2 linked regions of the Elephas maximus indicus genome follow. The protein of the gene in region 1 binds, or shares a complex with, the protein of each later gene. Links are inferred from orthologs where the notes say so. Each region holds a gene or a part of one and is shown in the gene's direction. Other genes may lie near its edges.

The links. The genes of interacting proteins can lie anywhere in the genome.
Region 2: the proteins of NGFR (region 1) and ARHGDIA are in contact, whole or in part, in an NMR structure (PDB 8X8T), measured with the Homo sapiens proteins. The link is inferred for Elephas maximus indicus from reciprocal best matches to the Homo sapiens genes NGFR and ARHGDIA. Residues at the interface, in NP_002498.1 of Homo sapiens: Arg274, Trp275, Ser277, Cys278, Lys279, Gln280, Lys282, Gln283, Gly284, Ala285, Ser287, Arg288, Pro289, Val290, Asn291, Gln292, Thr293, Pro294, Pro295, Pro296, Glu299, Lys300, Leu301, Ile307, Ser308, Val309, Gln312, Ser313, Asp316, Gln317; in NP_001172006.1 of Homo sapiens: Ala8, Glu9, Leu11, Ala12, Gln13, Ile14, Ala15, Ala16, Glu17, Asn18, Glu19, Glu20, Asp21, Glu22, Val25, Pro30, Ala31, Gln32, Lys33, Ile35, Gln36, Glu37, Ile38, Gln39, Glu40, Leu41, Asp42, Lys43, Asp44, Asp45.

Annotation. Positions count from the first base shown.
Region 1 is NC_064837.1:44,082,799-44,090,023, reverse strand, and holds the start of NGFR (tumor necrosis factor receptor superfamily member 16), read left to right. Parts: upstream 1-4,204; 5' UTR 4,205-4,310; coding exon 4,311-4,376; intron 4,377-7,225. UniProt on the Homo sapiens protein: Low affinity receptor which can bind to NGF, BDNF, NTF3, and NTF4. Forms a heterodimeric receptor with SORCS2 that binds the precursor forms of NGF, BDNF and NTF3 with high affinity, and has much lower affinity for mature NGF and BDNF.
Region 2 is NC_064837.1:71,666,367-71,673,449, reverse strand, and holds the start of ARHGDIA (rho GDP-dissociation inhibitor 1), read left to right. Parts: upstream 1-4,063; 5' UTR 4,064-4,171; intron 4,172-5,736; 5' UTR 5,737-5,757; coding exon 5,758-5,947; intron 5,948-6,152; coding exon 6,153-6,236; intron 6,237-6,491; coding exon 6,492-6,568; intron 6,569-6,648; coding exon 6,649-6,712; intron 6,713-6,835; coding exon 6,836-7,035; 3' UTR 7,036-7,083. UniProt on the Homo sapiens protein: Controls Rho proteins homeostasis. Regulates the GDP/GTP exchange reaction of the Rho proteins by inhibiting the dissociation of GDP from them, and the subsequent binding of GTP to them.

The DNA of each region.
Region 1 (7,225 bases):
TGATGCTCCCCAAATCAGGAAAAGCGTGAGCTCACTAATAGAGCTCAGGAACCATGCCTTTAATCAAAAGGCAAAGATCACTCCCTTGGCTCGCCTCTGTCCCTGCTACCTGGGCCCCAAATCCAGACCCTGTGAATGCGTGTTGGAAGTGGTGATCCAAAGGGGCATCTGAGCCATAGTGCTGAAGGGCAGAGCTTAGCACCTCTGAGATTCTGGCCCACAGAGGTGACTGCTCGTCATCTAGCTGGGATGAAGGCTAGAGGAGCTGGGATGGTGGGAGGAATGGCCTGGAAATAGGGAGGTTAATGGCAAGAAGTGTGGCTGTGAAGGGCCTTGTGGAGTACGGTGGCCATTTATGGTATTGCTGCTTCCTGCTGGGGGCCCTCGGGCAAGTGGCTTAACCTCTTCCAACCTCAGCCTCTTCATCTGTAAAATGGTGATCCCAGTACTTCCTTTATGGAATTGCAGTGGGAATTAATGGGGATGATTGTGTAGATCTCCCGGTCCATAGGAGATCTCAATAAATGTGAGTTCTCATTCTCTGCTTGCCCATTTCTGCATGGAAGTGGGTTGTGGCTGTAGGCTGGCTCCACAATGACTCCTGCGGACAGGGGCACAGGGAGCTGTGAGTGGTGCTCCGCAGAGGGGCTGAGGTGGGGTCTCCGAATGGACGGGGAGAGCAGGAAGAGCGTGTCAGGGAGCTTGCCCTCCTGGAGGGGTATGGTAAACGTGGGGTGGTAAGATGAATAGAGGAGACATAAGCCCCCTCCCATTTTGATTACTGAAGATGCAGTTTGACCTACCAAAACTACTCCCAGCTCCATGCAGAATTGCGTTGATATTCTCAACCCTTTTGCCTTGGAGTCATGCTTAGGTCAAGAAAGCCTTGGCTTGTATGTGGTGGGGAGAGAGGCCCTCTATATATGCAGTAGGTTCTGGGGGCCCTCCAGGAAAACTGCTGCCCTCTACTACCTGTCTGATGCCACTTGCTGGTCAACTCCTCAGATCCCTCTCCCATGCCCTATTCCAAAGCTGTGGCTGCAAGTGCTGAAGAATTGTGGAAAGGGGACTAAAGAGAGAGTGTGGCTTGCCAGGCCAGGGAGAAATCCTTCAAGAGTGTTTGTGTTTGGGGCTAGGAGTCAGGACCACTAGGGAGTTAGGTCAAGCAAGCAGAGCTCCATGGGACCTCTGATATTGTTCCTAGGAATTGAGACAGACCCAAGCACCCAGAAAAAAGCCATTCTCATTAGAAACAGTAATCCCTGCTGTTTGTGGTGATGCAGATGAAGGAAGGTAGGGGTGGTGGTGGTGGCTATAGCCCTGGCATTCATGGTGGTGGTGATGATGGTGGTGGTGGTGGTGATGGTGTGGTAGTCACGGTAGTGGTTGTGATGATTGTGGTAGTGATGGTAGTGATAGTTGTGGAGGTTCTGGTAGTAATGTTGACAGTGATAGTCATAGTCATGTGGTCATGGTGGTACTGGCGTTGGTGGTTGTGGTGATGGTAGTCACAGTGCTGCTGGTGTTGGTGTAGGTGGTTGTTATGGTGACAACAGTAACGATGGTAGTCATCACAGTGATTCCTAGCAAAGGAATACCCTGATCACAGCTCTGCTGTCTACAGTATGGTCAGGCCAAGGCGTCACATTATAAAATAACCTTTCATATCAAATAACTAACACACTGGAGCATCAGCTCCATGAGGGCAGCTTCTGTTGTTCACTGCTGAGTCCCCAGTGCCCAGAACAGTATGTGACATATAGCAGGTGTTCAGTAGGTATGTGTTGAATGAAGACTAGGGGATTGAGTGCCTCCTTGTAGTGGACACTATGTTACCTCATTTAATCCTCATCATGCCCCTTCAAGATAGGATCTTTTAAATTCCCATTTTATACATGAGGAAGCTGAGACCAAGAGAGATGAAGTAACCTAAGACTACAAAGAAATCAGTGGGGACTTGGAGAGGGAACAGGCATCCATACTCAGACCAGTCTGACTCTTAGGGCAGTGCTCTTCCCTCTGCACACTTCAAGCCAACACTCAACATTACATTGTGGTCTTGTGCTGGGCTTAATCACGGGAGTACTGTTAATCATAGCAACAATTTCTGTCTATAATTGTCCGAGTAAGGCTTACATGATCAAGACCATGGAAATTATTAATAACCCAGGCCCAGCCATGGTACCGTGGGTCATATTAAGTTGTGTCGAGATGGATAACCTCGGCAATAATAGTAACTGGGATCATAGATTAATAACAGAAGTGTTTAAATTAATGCCACACTGTTGATACCTTTGGTAGTAAGCAGCTGGATGCTGCTGTTAATACTAATGGTGCCCCTTCCTGTCTTCCATGAATTCCACTGAGAGGAAAGGCAGGTCCATAAAAGCAGTGGGAGGAGGAGGCATCTTAGAGGCTGCCCCTGTCCAGGAGAGATGAATCCTCTGGGGCTGCTGAAGAGGTGCTCACACGCCCAGCCATAGAGACGGTGGCTCGTCACCAACATTATTCTCAAGATGATGTCCACTTGAGCCCTTCTGGGGCTGTCCCCCACACTTCATTGGTCATGTTGGAAAGAAATTCAGAGGGCAGATTTTTTTTTTCATAAATGAATGAATTCGTTTCAGCTGATTGAGGTCACCATGAATCAGAATCAACTCAACAGCATTTGAGTTGCTGCATTTTTGAATATAGGAAATCACTTATCAACTACTCGTTAAGTGCTCTTGATCTCCTCCTTATCCTGTAATTTGGGAGACTTCTGTCGTTTTTCCAGAGTGGAAACTGAGCTCCAGGTATGGCCAAGAAGAGGGTGCTGGGTATGGGCTTTGTAGATTAGCCCCCAACAGCTCTGTGCTCCAGGGACCTCGTGTCTGGGGACCAGGAAAGGGTGGGGCAGATGGGAGTTGAGCATCAGGTTTTGGTGCCTTTAGCACATTCCCTGGATTGGAAGGGCCTTAGATTTGGACTTACCAAGTTTCTAGGACATGGTAAGTGTGGTCCTGGGGACAGATCTGCCCCAGCACCTAGAGAGTACATGGATGGGTGAATGGAGGGAGTGTGAGTATTTATGAATCCCTCTAATCACTTATCCATTTATTTCATTCTATAGAACTTTATTGAACAGCTATTGTGCACTGGGCATTCAAACAAGAAGCCATAGTCCCTGCCTGCCAGGAGATTATGATCTAATGAAAACACAGTCTAGTGAAGTCTATATTGTTGAAGATGTATTTGTGTATGAGAGTATGTGTTCAGGAATCTGTGTTCACACATGTGTTAGAGGCTGTATAGATGTGAGGGCTTGTGCGGATGTAACCATTCACCTGATGTTGTACATGTGAATGCGTCAATGTGTAGATGAGTATGTGTCTGAGTGTTATGTCCACATGGGCCAAGAGGGCGCATGTGTGCATGAATGTGGAGAAGCACATATATGTTCGTGATTCTCCATCTACCTTACGTGTCGGGCGTGCAGGTCCACAGAGATGTGTGGGTGTCTGTGAGGGCATAAGCACAGATATATGTGAGCTTCAGAGTGTGTTTCCGTGTATTCTTGTGTTTTGTGTGCATACCTGTGACCCCTTCAAATCCATCATTTGAAAATTTAAATGATGGTGGGGTGGACTCCATCCTGAATTACCCCACTGCATCCCCCTCCCCCCAGGCCACCTGCTCTCCCTCCCTTCTCCCTAGACCTTTGCACCGAGAACCCCCGCACTCGGAGGAAGAGTGGAGGGGAATGGGCCTGCAGATGAAGGGTGGGGCGGCAGTGGACACATGCTGATAACGGCTGGGTAGGGAGCAAGGTACCAGCGAGAAGCTGAAGCCAGAGGCGGAGGAAGAAGGGTAAGAGAGTGAACCCTGCGGCGGTCCACAGCCGGAGAGCAACGCGAGCCGCAGTGGGGACGCCCTGGCCCCTGGGCCCACAGCATCCGGGCCGGATGCGCAGCAGCGCGGGCCAGACACCGGGTACCAGGGTGATGTGGGTGAGAGCCTCCTAGGGCCAGGGCACAGAGAAGCGGCGGCAGGGCACGCGGGCGCGGTTGCCCGCACGCCCTCCCTTCCCCTCCACCCCCCTCCCCGAGGCAGCGGGGCGGGCGGGCGCGGTTCCGGGGGTGGGCGGGCTGGGCGAAGAGGAGGCGGGGCCGCCGCACTGGCTTCATCCAGCCCCTCCCGCCGCAGCCAGAGCGAGCGGAGCCGCGGCCAGCTCCAGCGGGCGGCCAGCGCTGGAGCGCAGCGCAGCGCAGCCCTATCGGTCTGCGGAGTGGGCTGAGCTGGAAGCTGAGAGCGGCCGCGGAAGACCGGCGATGAGGGCAGGTGCCACTGGCGGTGCCATGGACCGGCCGCGCCTACTGCTGCTGCTGCTCCTAGGGGTGAGTGCTAGCCCAAAGGGAATCCGCTTCCTTCCCTGGGATCGGAACCCCGAGGGGAGCCGGGCGCCGCGGCTCTGGAGACGACAGAGCATTGGGGTCCTAGATGCTAGGGACTCTGATGCCGGGATCCATGGAGGAGCGTCGCCAGTTCTCGGGGCGCAGACCCTAGGTTTCAGGGTAAAGATGTGGGCAAGAGGGGCGCACGGATGCCGGTCCTCAGGTACCGCGGAGAGATGCGGGGAGAGTTGGGAGGGGTCTCTAGGCAGGAGATGAGAGGCGCTCGGATGCCTGGGTTCTTCGGAAGAAGGCGCTTGAATGCTGGAATCTCGAGGGGGCTCCAGGGTCGTGGGACGGAACCAAGGCGAGAGGAGAGGGAATGGAATGGGGTTTGGACATGTGAAGGGGCGAGGGGCTGGGGTACGGAGCCGGAGACGAAGGAATGGAACAATGGGGGAGGAGGCTGGAGGGACTGGAGGCAGAGGGGACCCGGCATCGGACAATGCGGACAGGCCAGACAATGAGGGGGAGGGGCGTTGAAGGGAGAGGTTCGGGAGCGACAGGGCAGTCGAGGAGAGTATAGGTGGGTTAGGGACGGCAGAAAAGGGACGACAGCGAGGGGGTAGGGAGGTGGAAGCAAAAAAAAAAATCGGTTCGAGAAGGGAGTGTGGATCCTGAGGCTGTCGGGGGCCCCGCCTGCCCATTGAAGGACAGTGGGACGAGGAGAGAGAGAAGAGGCAGTGGCGTCGAGGAGCCCTGGGGACGGTTCCCGCGCTCTTCCTCGCGGTCTCGCCCAGTCGGGGAGTTGCGGGTAGGAAGCCGGGCTGGGAGCGGAGTGACCGCTTCGAGGGGCGAACCCGCTCCCTGGCTTCCCCAAGGCTGGCCGACTCCTCAGACGCGCGTGTGCTGGCGGTTTGAAGGAGCGCCGCGGACCCGGAGCGATGGAGCAGGCATCACTCGCTGGAGTCTGGCGGCGGCCGGGTCCTGGGATGGGGTGCAGAACGCCCGGGCGCGCAGAGCCGGCACAGTCCAGTCCGCGCGCAGCCTGGGGTCGCGCCGGCGGGAGGCGGCCCGCAGGGGGCGCTCCGGGGCTGGCCATGTACCCTCCGTAGCTGCGTCCGCGCGGAGGGCTGCGCGCCGCCCCCCACTAAGTTACGCGACCCCAGCGACTCGCCCGGTGCGCCTCAGAGGCTCGGGCTCCCACCCGCGTCCGGCTCAGCGTTCTGTGGAACGCCTGGGATTCTGTCCGGCCGTGACCAGAGGAACCGACTGGGCAAAGGACGGCAGGTCCCCCCGGTAGTTCTGACACGATTTTCAAGATGTGACCTAGTGGGTGGCCATGAACTGAGTGCTCGGGAAGGTTCGGCAATGGAGCAGGCGTCCTCACCCTCCCGGCCCTCTTCATCTCTCATCTGAGTATTGCCCCCCCAAATCCCCGTTTTACAGATAAGGAAACAGGCTTTGAGGGCTTAAACGACTGAACCAAGATCCCACAAGCAAGTTGGCGTAGAGTCGGAGCTAGACTCCTCGCAGCGCACCTGAGTCCCATCTCCGTCTCCGGCCCCGAAGGGCGCTCCAGTTCGTGACAAGAGCGGCGTGTTAGGGCGGGGGGGGGTCCCCAAAGTCAGGCCGGCGATGGAACATGGGGGCGGGGTAGCAGCCCCTCTCCGGGCGCTGGCCCCCATCCCTGGAGCTGTCAGTACCTGTGGCTTCGTCCCAGGCTTTGGGAGTGACCGAGGGCTCGTTTGCTGACTAACGTCGCCCAGCAGAACGGCCTCTCGGCCCGGAGTGGGGAGGGGAACTGGGCGGCCAGCGCTGTGCGGGTCCCGGAGGGGCGGGAAGAGAGAGTGTCCCCGGGCGGAGAAGAGGCGAGGAGGGACAGGAGCTGGACGTGGAGGGCCTGCGGGCTGGAGGAGGTGGCCCCCGCGCAGAACCTGCCGCGCGCAGCCCCGCGGCCCTCGCCTCCGCCCCGACGCCGGCGGCGGTGCCTGGGCCGGCTCTGCGCACCGCCGCGGTCCGACTTTCTTCCTGGGCCGCGGCGAGAGAGTGTTGAAACCAGAGCGCGTCCGGCCGGGTAGGCTGGCGGGCCGCGCCGGTAATGGAGGCACTTTGTCATTCAGACGTCTGTAACCGGAGCCGCCGGGCCGGCTAATGCGCCTAATAGGGATGCAGCCAGGGCAGCAAATGGGCGGCGGGAGCGGCCGGGCTGGGGGGAGGCGGCTTCCGGAGGGAAAGCCCCCCACCCAGCTGGACCAGCCCGGCCCAGCCCCGCGCCTGGCTACTTCCCGCGGGGGGGGGGGGGTGGTGCGGGGCGGGAGTGAGGAGGCGGGAATAATATGTTGCGTGCCTACAATGTGCCACACACCGTCCTGGGTACTTTCTTTCGCGTTATTTAATCCTTATAAAGTCCCAGGAGAGTAAATCTAGTTATTCCCATTTTACAGTTGAGGAAGCCGTACCTCCCAGGCTTTTAGGCACAAGACCAGCTCCCCCAGTGAGTGAGTGGTGCCACCCTTGTTGGAACCCAGGATGCTTGGCTCCAAGTCCTGTCTTTCCTCTGCGTGAAGGTGTGCCCTCCCTTACCCTCTTCTAGATCATTGAGGAATGCCTGACCCTGAATCCTTACTAGCCTAGGTTAGATGTGTGCCCCAAGCTGTCGGCACCACAAATTTGGAAACTGAGCCCCTTTGCCCTCACACAAAGCTCTTAAGTCTGCAAACAGCATCATACTAGTAACTGGCTCATGTCTCCCACCCCAAAATTCAACCTCTGAAGGGGAGGGGGGGTGCAGGTACCAGTGCCTTCCCTGGGTTTGCATGGACCTCAAAAGACCTCCCAGATATTTGAAAACC
Region 2 (7,083 bases), about 28 Mb from region 1:
TGTAGAAAATCCTGAGGAATCCACACAAGAAACTACTGGAACTAGCAAACAAGTTTAGCAAGGTCACAAGAATAATAACGTCAATATACAAAAATCAGTTGTATATCTGAGCAGACAATGGTCAAAAAAATGAAATTAAGTAAATAATGCCACTCACAACAGTATCAAAATGAATAAAATACTGAGGAACAAATTTAACAAAAGTGCCAGACCTGTATATGCTGAAAACTACAAAATACTGCTGAATTAAAGAAGACCCAAACAAATGCACAGAATTGTTCGTTGACTGGAAGACTCAATATTGTTAAGATAGCAGTTCTTACCAAATTGTCCTGTAGAGTCAGTGCAATCCCTATCAAATTCCCACTGGGATTTTATTTTGAGAAATTAATAGCTGATTTTAAGAAATTTATATGGAAAATCACTGGACCTAGGATAGGTAAAACAATTTTGGAAAGAATGAAGTTAGAAACTTACACTACCTAATTTCAAAACTTATGATAGAGCTATAGTCATCGTGATGTTTTGATATTGAATAAGGATGTGGACTAAATGGAGCAGAACTGAGAGTTCAGAAATAAACCCTTATGTCTACAGTGAATAAATTTTCAACACCAGTGGCAAGACAGTTCAGTGGAGGAAATTATAGTCTTTTCAACAAATGGTGATGGGACAAAGATGAAACACTGACTTCACACCATATACAAATACAAAAATTAACCAAAAAAATGGATTGTAGACCTAAATGCCACAGCTGAAACTATAAAAGAAGAAAATACAGGGAAAAATCTTCACGACCTTAGGTTAGGCAAAAGAGTTCTTAGCAATGACACCAAAAGAAAGAAACATGAAGGAAGAAGTTGACGATTTGGACTTCATGAAAATAAAAATTTTCCCTTCAAAAGACACCATTAAGACAATGAAAGACAATTATTGCTTATGGAGTCCCCAGCTTAGGTTGGGGTTCTGGTCCGATAATGCCATTGTAAGAGTCTGTTCTGACATAAGTTGAATACTTTTTTTTTTTTTTTAGTTTTCATAGCCTGCTGTACAGCAGTTTTGTGAACAGCAAATTACAACATTGAACATCTGTGAGTGAACATCTGAGCATGATAACGTCAGCAAAGTACACATTGCAACATTGTATGTAATACCTATTGCTAAGGATAAGATGTATTTAAAAAAAAAAAATGGTAACTCAATGATGTTGGGGACTACCTGTACTGAGTTTCAGTTTATGGTGATAGAAAAATCTCATGAAGGGTAGGGTTGCACAGTAGATTTATGTAGTTGCTGTCAATAAGTTGTACACCTGTAAAAAGCTGAATTGGTAAAAGTGTAGTAGATACATTTACAATGACCAAAAAAAAAAAAAAGCTGCCGAGGCTGCTTATGTACTGTCGAACACCTCATGGAATTGGGTTCCTTAATTTGGAGGTTTAGAGTCATGGTTTCATGGAACATCCCAGTTAACTGTCCTAATAATGTGTTTAGTGCTTCTGTTCAACCTCCTAGTTCGATGCCTGGGGTCTTAAAGGCTTGCAAACATCCAAGGCTCAACAATTGGTCTCTATTCCCCTGGAGCAACAGGAAGAAGAGTCAGAAATGAAAGGAGGAAATGGAATGTGCGGCTTATTGCCTCCATGAACAACTGCCTCCTTTGCTATGAGACCAGAACTGGATGGTATCCTGCTGCCATTACTGAACATTTTAATCAATGATTCTATAGAAGAATTCTGGTCTAAAGCGGGGAAATGCAGAAGAATTTCAAATTTTCATGGAATCCAAATCTTTCTGGAGCCATGGAGGCTAGATGAACCCTGAAATGATTGCCCTGAGATTATCTAAACCTTAAAACAAAAATATCCCCTAAAGTCATCTTAAAACCAAACAATAGCTAGTAAAGAACATTTGCCTTGAGCATTGTGCTTTTTTAAGATTAATCTATGGGATCAAATTGATGACAGCAACTTGAAAGATTAGATAAGAAGCTCAGGGGGCAATGAGTTTATGTTAATGGAGGAGGAACAGCTCAGAAAAAAGTGAGAATGGTTGCACAACTAGAATGTAATCAATGTCACTGAATTTGTACATGTAGAAACTGTTGAATTGGTATATGTTCTGCTGTGTATATTCTCAACAAAAAATAATTTTAAAAAAGCTACAGAAAATATCTGCAATCATAAAGTCAATGGACTTGTATCCAGAATGTAAAGAAGCTGTTACGGATTGAATTATGTCCCCCCAAAATATGTGTCATGATTCCCAGTACTGCGCAGTTGCCCTCCATTTTGTGATCTGATGTAGTTATCCTATGTATTGTAAATCCTAACGTCTATGATGTTGATTTATGAGTTGGAATCGACTCAACGGCACTGGGTTGGGTATGATGTTAATGAGGCAGGACACAGTCTACAGGATTACGTTGTATCTTGAGTTCATCTCTTTTGAGATATAAAGGAGAGAAGCAAGCAGAGAAGAGAGGGGCTTCAGTACCATCAAGCAAGAAGCGTCAGGAGCAGAGTGCGTCCTTTGACTTGGGGCCCCTGTGCTGAGAAGCTCCTAAACCAGGGAAAGATTGATGACAAGGACCTTCCCCCAGAACCGACAGAGAAAGCCTTCCCCTGGAAGTGGTGCTCTGGATTTGGACTTCTAGTCTACTTGCAGCATTATATAACTAAGACAGGAGCCCTGGTGGTGCAACCATTAAGCACTCAGCAGCTAACTGCAAGGTTGGGAGCTCCAACCCACTCACAGACTGGGAGAAAAGACCTGGTGATCTGCTCCATAAAGATTGTACATAGCCAAGAAAATTCTTTGGGGCAGTTCTACTCTGTCACATGAGGTCGATATGAGTAGAAATCAACTCAAGGGCACCTAACAACAACCACATTTAGAATATATGCCCTTCCAGCCTTGGACACCAATAAGTGAAAGAGACCCAGCACCCAGCGTTGGGATGTGGTGAGGGAGTCAGGGCCTGTGGTGTAGGTGAGGCGGAGCATCAGTGCCAGGAACTTCCTTCACTTGACAATCATGGAATTGCTCGGTAATGGGATGCCTCTGAAGTGATCCCCCAGCGAAGAAGACAGTGTGCTGGGCTTGAAGAACCCTGTGATTCGAAGTCGGCCCTGAAGGGGCTGAAAGGAGAGACTGGCAGAGGAGAAGCCTCGGGCCTCTGCAAGGTGTGGACAGTCAGCAAAGGTTCAGGCCCTTGGCTAGGTGTGGGTGGTTTCCAGAAGATGCTGGTATCCACGGCCTTGCTCATCAGCACGAGCAGTATACAGGGCAGGGCAGTGGGGACACTGTGGCCCACACGCAGGGACCTGACCAGACGCCTGGGAACCGTCTCCCCAGCGTTCCCTCAGAACCTAACCCAATGCTGAGTGCTCACTTAAGCTCGTAGGAAGCCTCAGGACACGGGACATTGCCAGGTGGCACCAAGAGGAGCAATGCGATGCGGACGGTCCGAGTTGGAGGACAAAAGGCCAGTTAGGGCGACCCTCTGGGAGAAACATTTGGGGTGGATGGCGGGCTTTTGGGTTCAGTGTGATGCTGCAACCGTGTGTACGTGAAGGGACACGCTTATTTTAAAGATGCGTGTTAATTGCCTGGAAGGGCGATAACATGACCTGTGATTTTAAATGCTTCCAGGTTAAAAGCAAGCTGTATCAAAACGTTCAGTTAATAGATCAATATAATCGACAAAGCTGCTCAGTCTGGGCGGTGGACATGAGCTCGGTCACACCGTCTCTGCACATCTCGTTACAAAAAGTGAAGGAGGGCGCGGCGGCCGAGAGGCCGTACCCCGAGGTGCTTAAGCAACCAAGAGAGTCACAGCACCCAGATATCAGAAGCAAAGAAGAAAACACAAAGCCGCATCCGGTCTCCGGCCCAGCCCCTCCGCCCGCCCACGCGGGACCGCCCCGCAAAGCCCCAGCCCAAGATGGCGGCGACGCGCTCCTGGCCGCCACCCGCACGCCCGCGCCTTGCGCATGCGCTCTCCGACCCGGCCCTGCCCGCGCATGCGCCCCGGGTGTGGCCCAGCCCGCCTGGGAGCGGAAGTCGCGTGACCCCGGAAGTGACAAACGGGCTGGCAGGCGGGTGGGTCGCCGCGACGTTCGTCACTTCGTGCGGGAGGGAGCGAAAGGCCGCGCGGTCGAACCCTCCGGTGAGTGCCCGCGGGCGGCGGGGTGGCGGGGCGGTGGACGGGACGAGATGGGGCCGCGCGGGCGGGTGAGGGGCGCGCGCCGCCGGCTTTGTTTCCGCAGCCCCGCCCTGCCCCGCCCTGCGGCCCGGCCTGGGGATCCCGGCGGGATCCGGGCGCGAGGACGGCGCTGCGCGCGGCGGTGACAATCGGGCCTGGCCCGCGCGGTGGCCGGGGAGCGGAGGGCGCGGACCCCGGGCTGGCGGCGGCCGCACGTGCCGTCCGGGGCGGAGGCGGCGCGGAGCCAGGGAGGAAGCGCCTGAGGCGGGGAGGGGCCTCGCTGTGGCCATCCGGCTGGCTGCCCGGCCCCGCCGATGCGCACCCACCTGCCTGCACCCGAGCCTGATGCGCCCCGCATCCGGCACGTGAGGCGGCTGGCAGAGCCCGGGGCCTGTGGACCCTCGGGGCGCGCCAGCGGTGGGGCGCGCGGGTCTTCGTGCACCGCGGCAGCCCCGCCCCGCCGCGCCCCGCCGGGCCTCGCCCGCCCAGATTGCAGGGCCGCACGGAAGTGCTGGCGGCGGGGCGCGCGCTCTCGAGGCAGAGCTGCCCTGAGGCCACCCTGCTGCGCCCCGGGCCCGCGCCTTTCAAGAAATCCTAGAGGAATCCTGGGGGGCAGCGAGCGGGAGGCGAGGGAGGGCCTGCGGCGGCTCCGAGGCCCAACCCTGGGGCCACTACGTGCATCCCAGTTTTGAAGTAGGCCTGTTTCTGGGGTTGGTTACTTTTCCCGGAAAAGCCTGAGAGCTTGAAACGATTGAGCGGGTTTTCAGCAAACGTTGGGGAATCCCGGTTGGAGAATTCCAGTGGGAGCAGAATGTGGGTCCCTAGCGGGAAAGCCCCGTGTGACTTTTCTGGGGACTCTTGGTCACAAACTCACACAGTTGGAGGGAACCTTGGCAGAAACTTGGGGCTGGCCTCGTGTCCCGCGGAGGCCCCTGTGGAGCTGAGCTCCAGAAGAGCTTGATGTTAGCAGGTTGAGTCGGAGCCTGTGTTCTGCTTAAAGGTTTCATTATGGGGGGTAGGGTCTGGGTCAGAGGAGTGGCCCTTACAGGGAGGCTGAGCTCACTGACCGGTGGGGGTCATGGCAGCGGGCTTGGGCAGCAATATCCCGAGTCTTTAGAGGTGATCCACTCAGGCCCTGCCGGGTGGCTCTGGGAGTAGCTAGGTCATGAGGTGCCCCAGCCTCACCCCCTTCCCTTGGGTCCCTGAGGGAGCAGGGCAGTGGTGCCCATTCAGTCCTGGGTGCCTTGTCTGCGTGGTGCCTTGCACTGCCCACGCCCCCTCCCCCCCCAGCATGACTCCCCTGAGGTGGGCAGGCCTGGGATACATGTGGGTTCTTTCTGAGTTGCAGAAAGCTGTTCCTTGGGCACTCTCTGTTCCTCAGGCACACGTTGGCTGCAGCAGGAGCCCCCTTCCTGTTTTCCTCCTTTAGGAGTGGCCTGCAGGGGGCTGGAGGGCTGGCTTCTTTAGTGGCAGGGTCCCAGGGGGCACAGGCTTTCCTCCAGGCTGCCACAGCTCCTGCCGACCCCCAGGCATCCCAGAGGTGAGTGAGCATGGCTGAGCAGGAGCCCACCGCTGAGCAGCTGGCACAGATTGCAGCTGAGAATGAGGAGGACGAGCACTCGGTTAACTACAAGCCACCGGCCCAGAAGAGCATCCAGGAGATCCAGGAGCTGGACAAGGACGATGAGAGTCTGCGCAAGTACAAGGAGGCCCTGCTGGGCCGCGTGGCCGTGTCTGCCGGTGAGGACCCCACTGTTCCCCCAGGCAGCCTTTCCTCTGAGTTTTATCTGCTGCCCCCCTGTCCTGCTCTGGTGGGTTACCAAGTACAAGGAGGTCCTGCTGGGCCACGCAGCCATTTCTGCTGGTGAGGCCACTGCTTCCCCTGCGTCCCGCCCCCCTCGTGGGTTACCAAGGACTGGGGCGCTGATTTTCTGTCCATCCCCAGACCCCAACGTCCCCAATGTCATCGTGACACGGCTGACCCTGGTGTGCAGCACCGCCCCAGGCCCCCTGGAACTGGACCTGACAGGTGCGTGGCAGCCAGGATTCCTGGGTGGGGCCGGTGGCACCCTGTTGCTTTCCCTGAGCATTGGTGCCCTGTGGTGGGGAACATCAGCTGCAACCAGGTGGCCTTTGAAGGGTTTTGGCCCCGGAACAGCCTGAAGAGTTGGGGTGCCTGCACCGGGGCATGTGTGTCCATGTGCTGGCATGGAGGGACTAGGCTGATGCAGGTCTGAGGTGTATAGGATGAACCACAGACTTCTCTGAGAGTCTCTGTCCGCAGGAGACCTGGAGAGCTTCAAGAAGCAGTCGTTCGTACTTAAGGAAGGCGTGGAATACCGGATAAAAATCTCTTTCCGGGTAAGGAGGGTGGGGGCTGCCGGTACGGGGCTGCAGGGAGGGCCGGGCTGGCTGAGGGGCTGACCGGCTGCTGTCCCCAGGTGAACAGAGAAATTGTGTCTGGCATGAAGTACATCCAGCACACCTACAGGAAAGGCATTAAGAGTGAGTGCACCTGTGTTTCTTCTGTGCCTTGCCCTCCCCCAGACAGCCACCCCGGCACAGGTGGGGTGGGAGGGGGTGGAAGGAGGTGGGGCAGCACTGATGGGGGGGTCCCTGTGGCTGCAGTTGACAAGACCGACTACATGGTGGGCAGCTACGGGCCACGGGCAGAGGAGTATGAGTTTCTGACCCCCATGGAGGAGGCACCCAAGGGCATGCTGGCACGGGGCAGCTACACTGTCAAGTCCCACTTCACGGATGACGACAAGACAGACCACCTGTCTTGGGAGTGGAACCTCACCATCAAAAAGGACTGGAAGGACTGAGCCCTGGCTGGGAGGAAGACAGGGAGGGACAGACGGACGTACCCCACT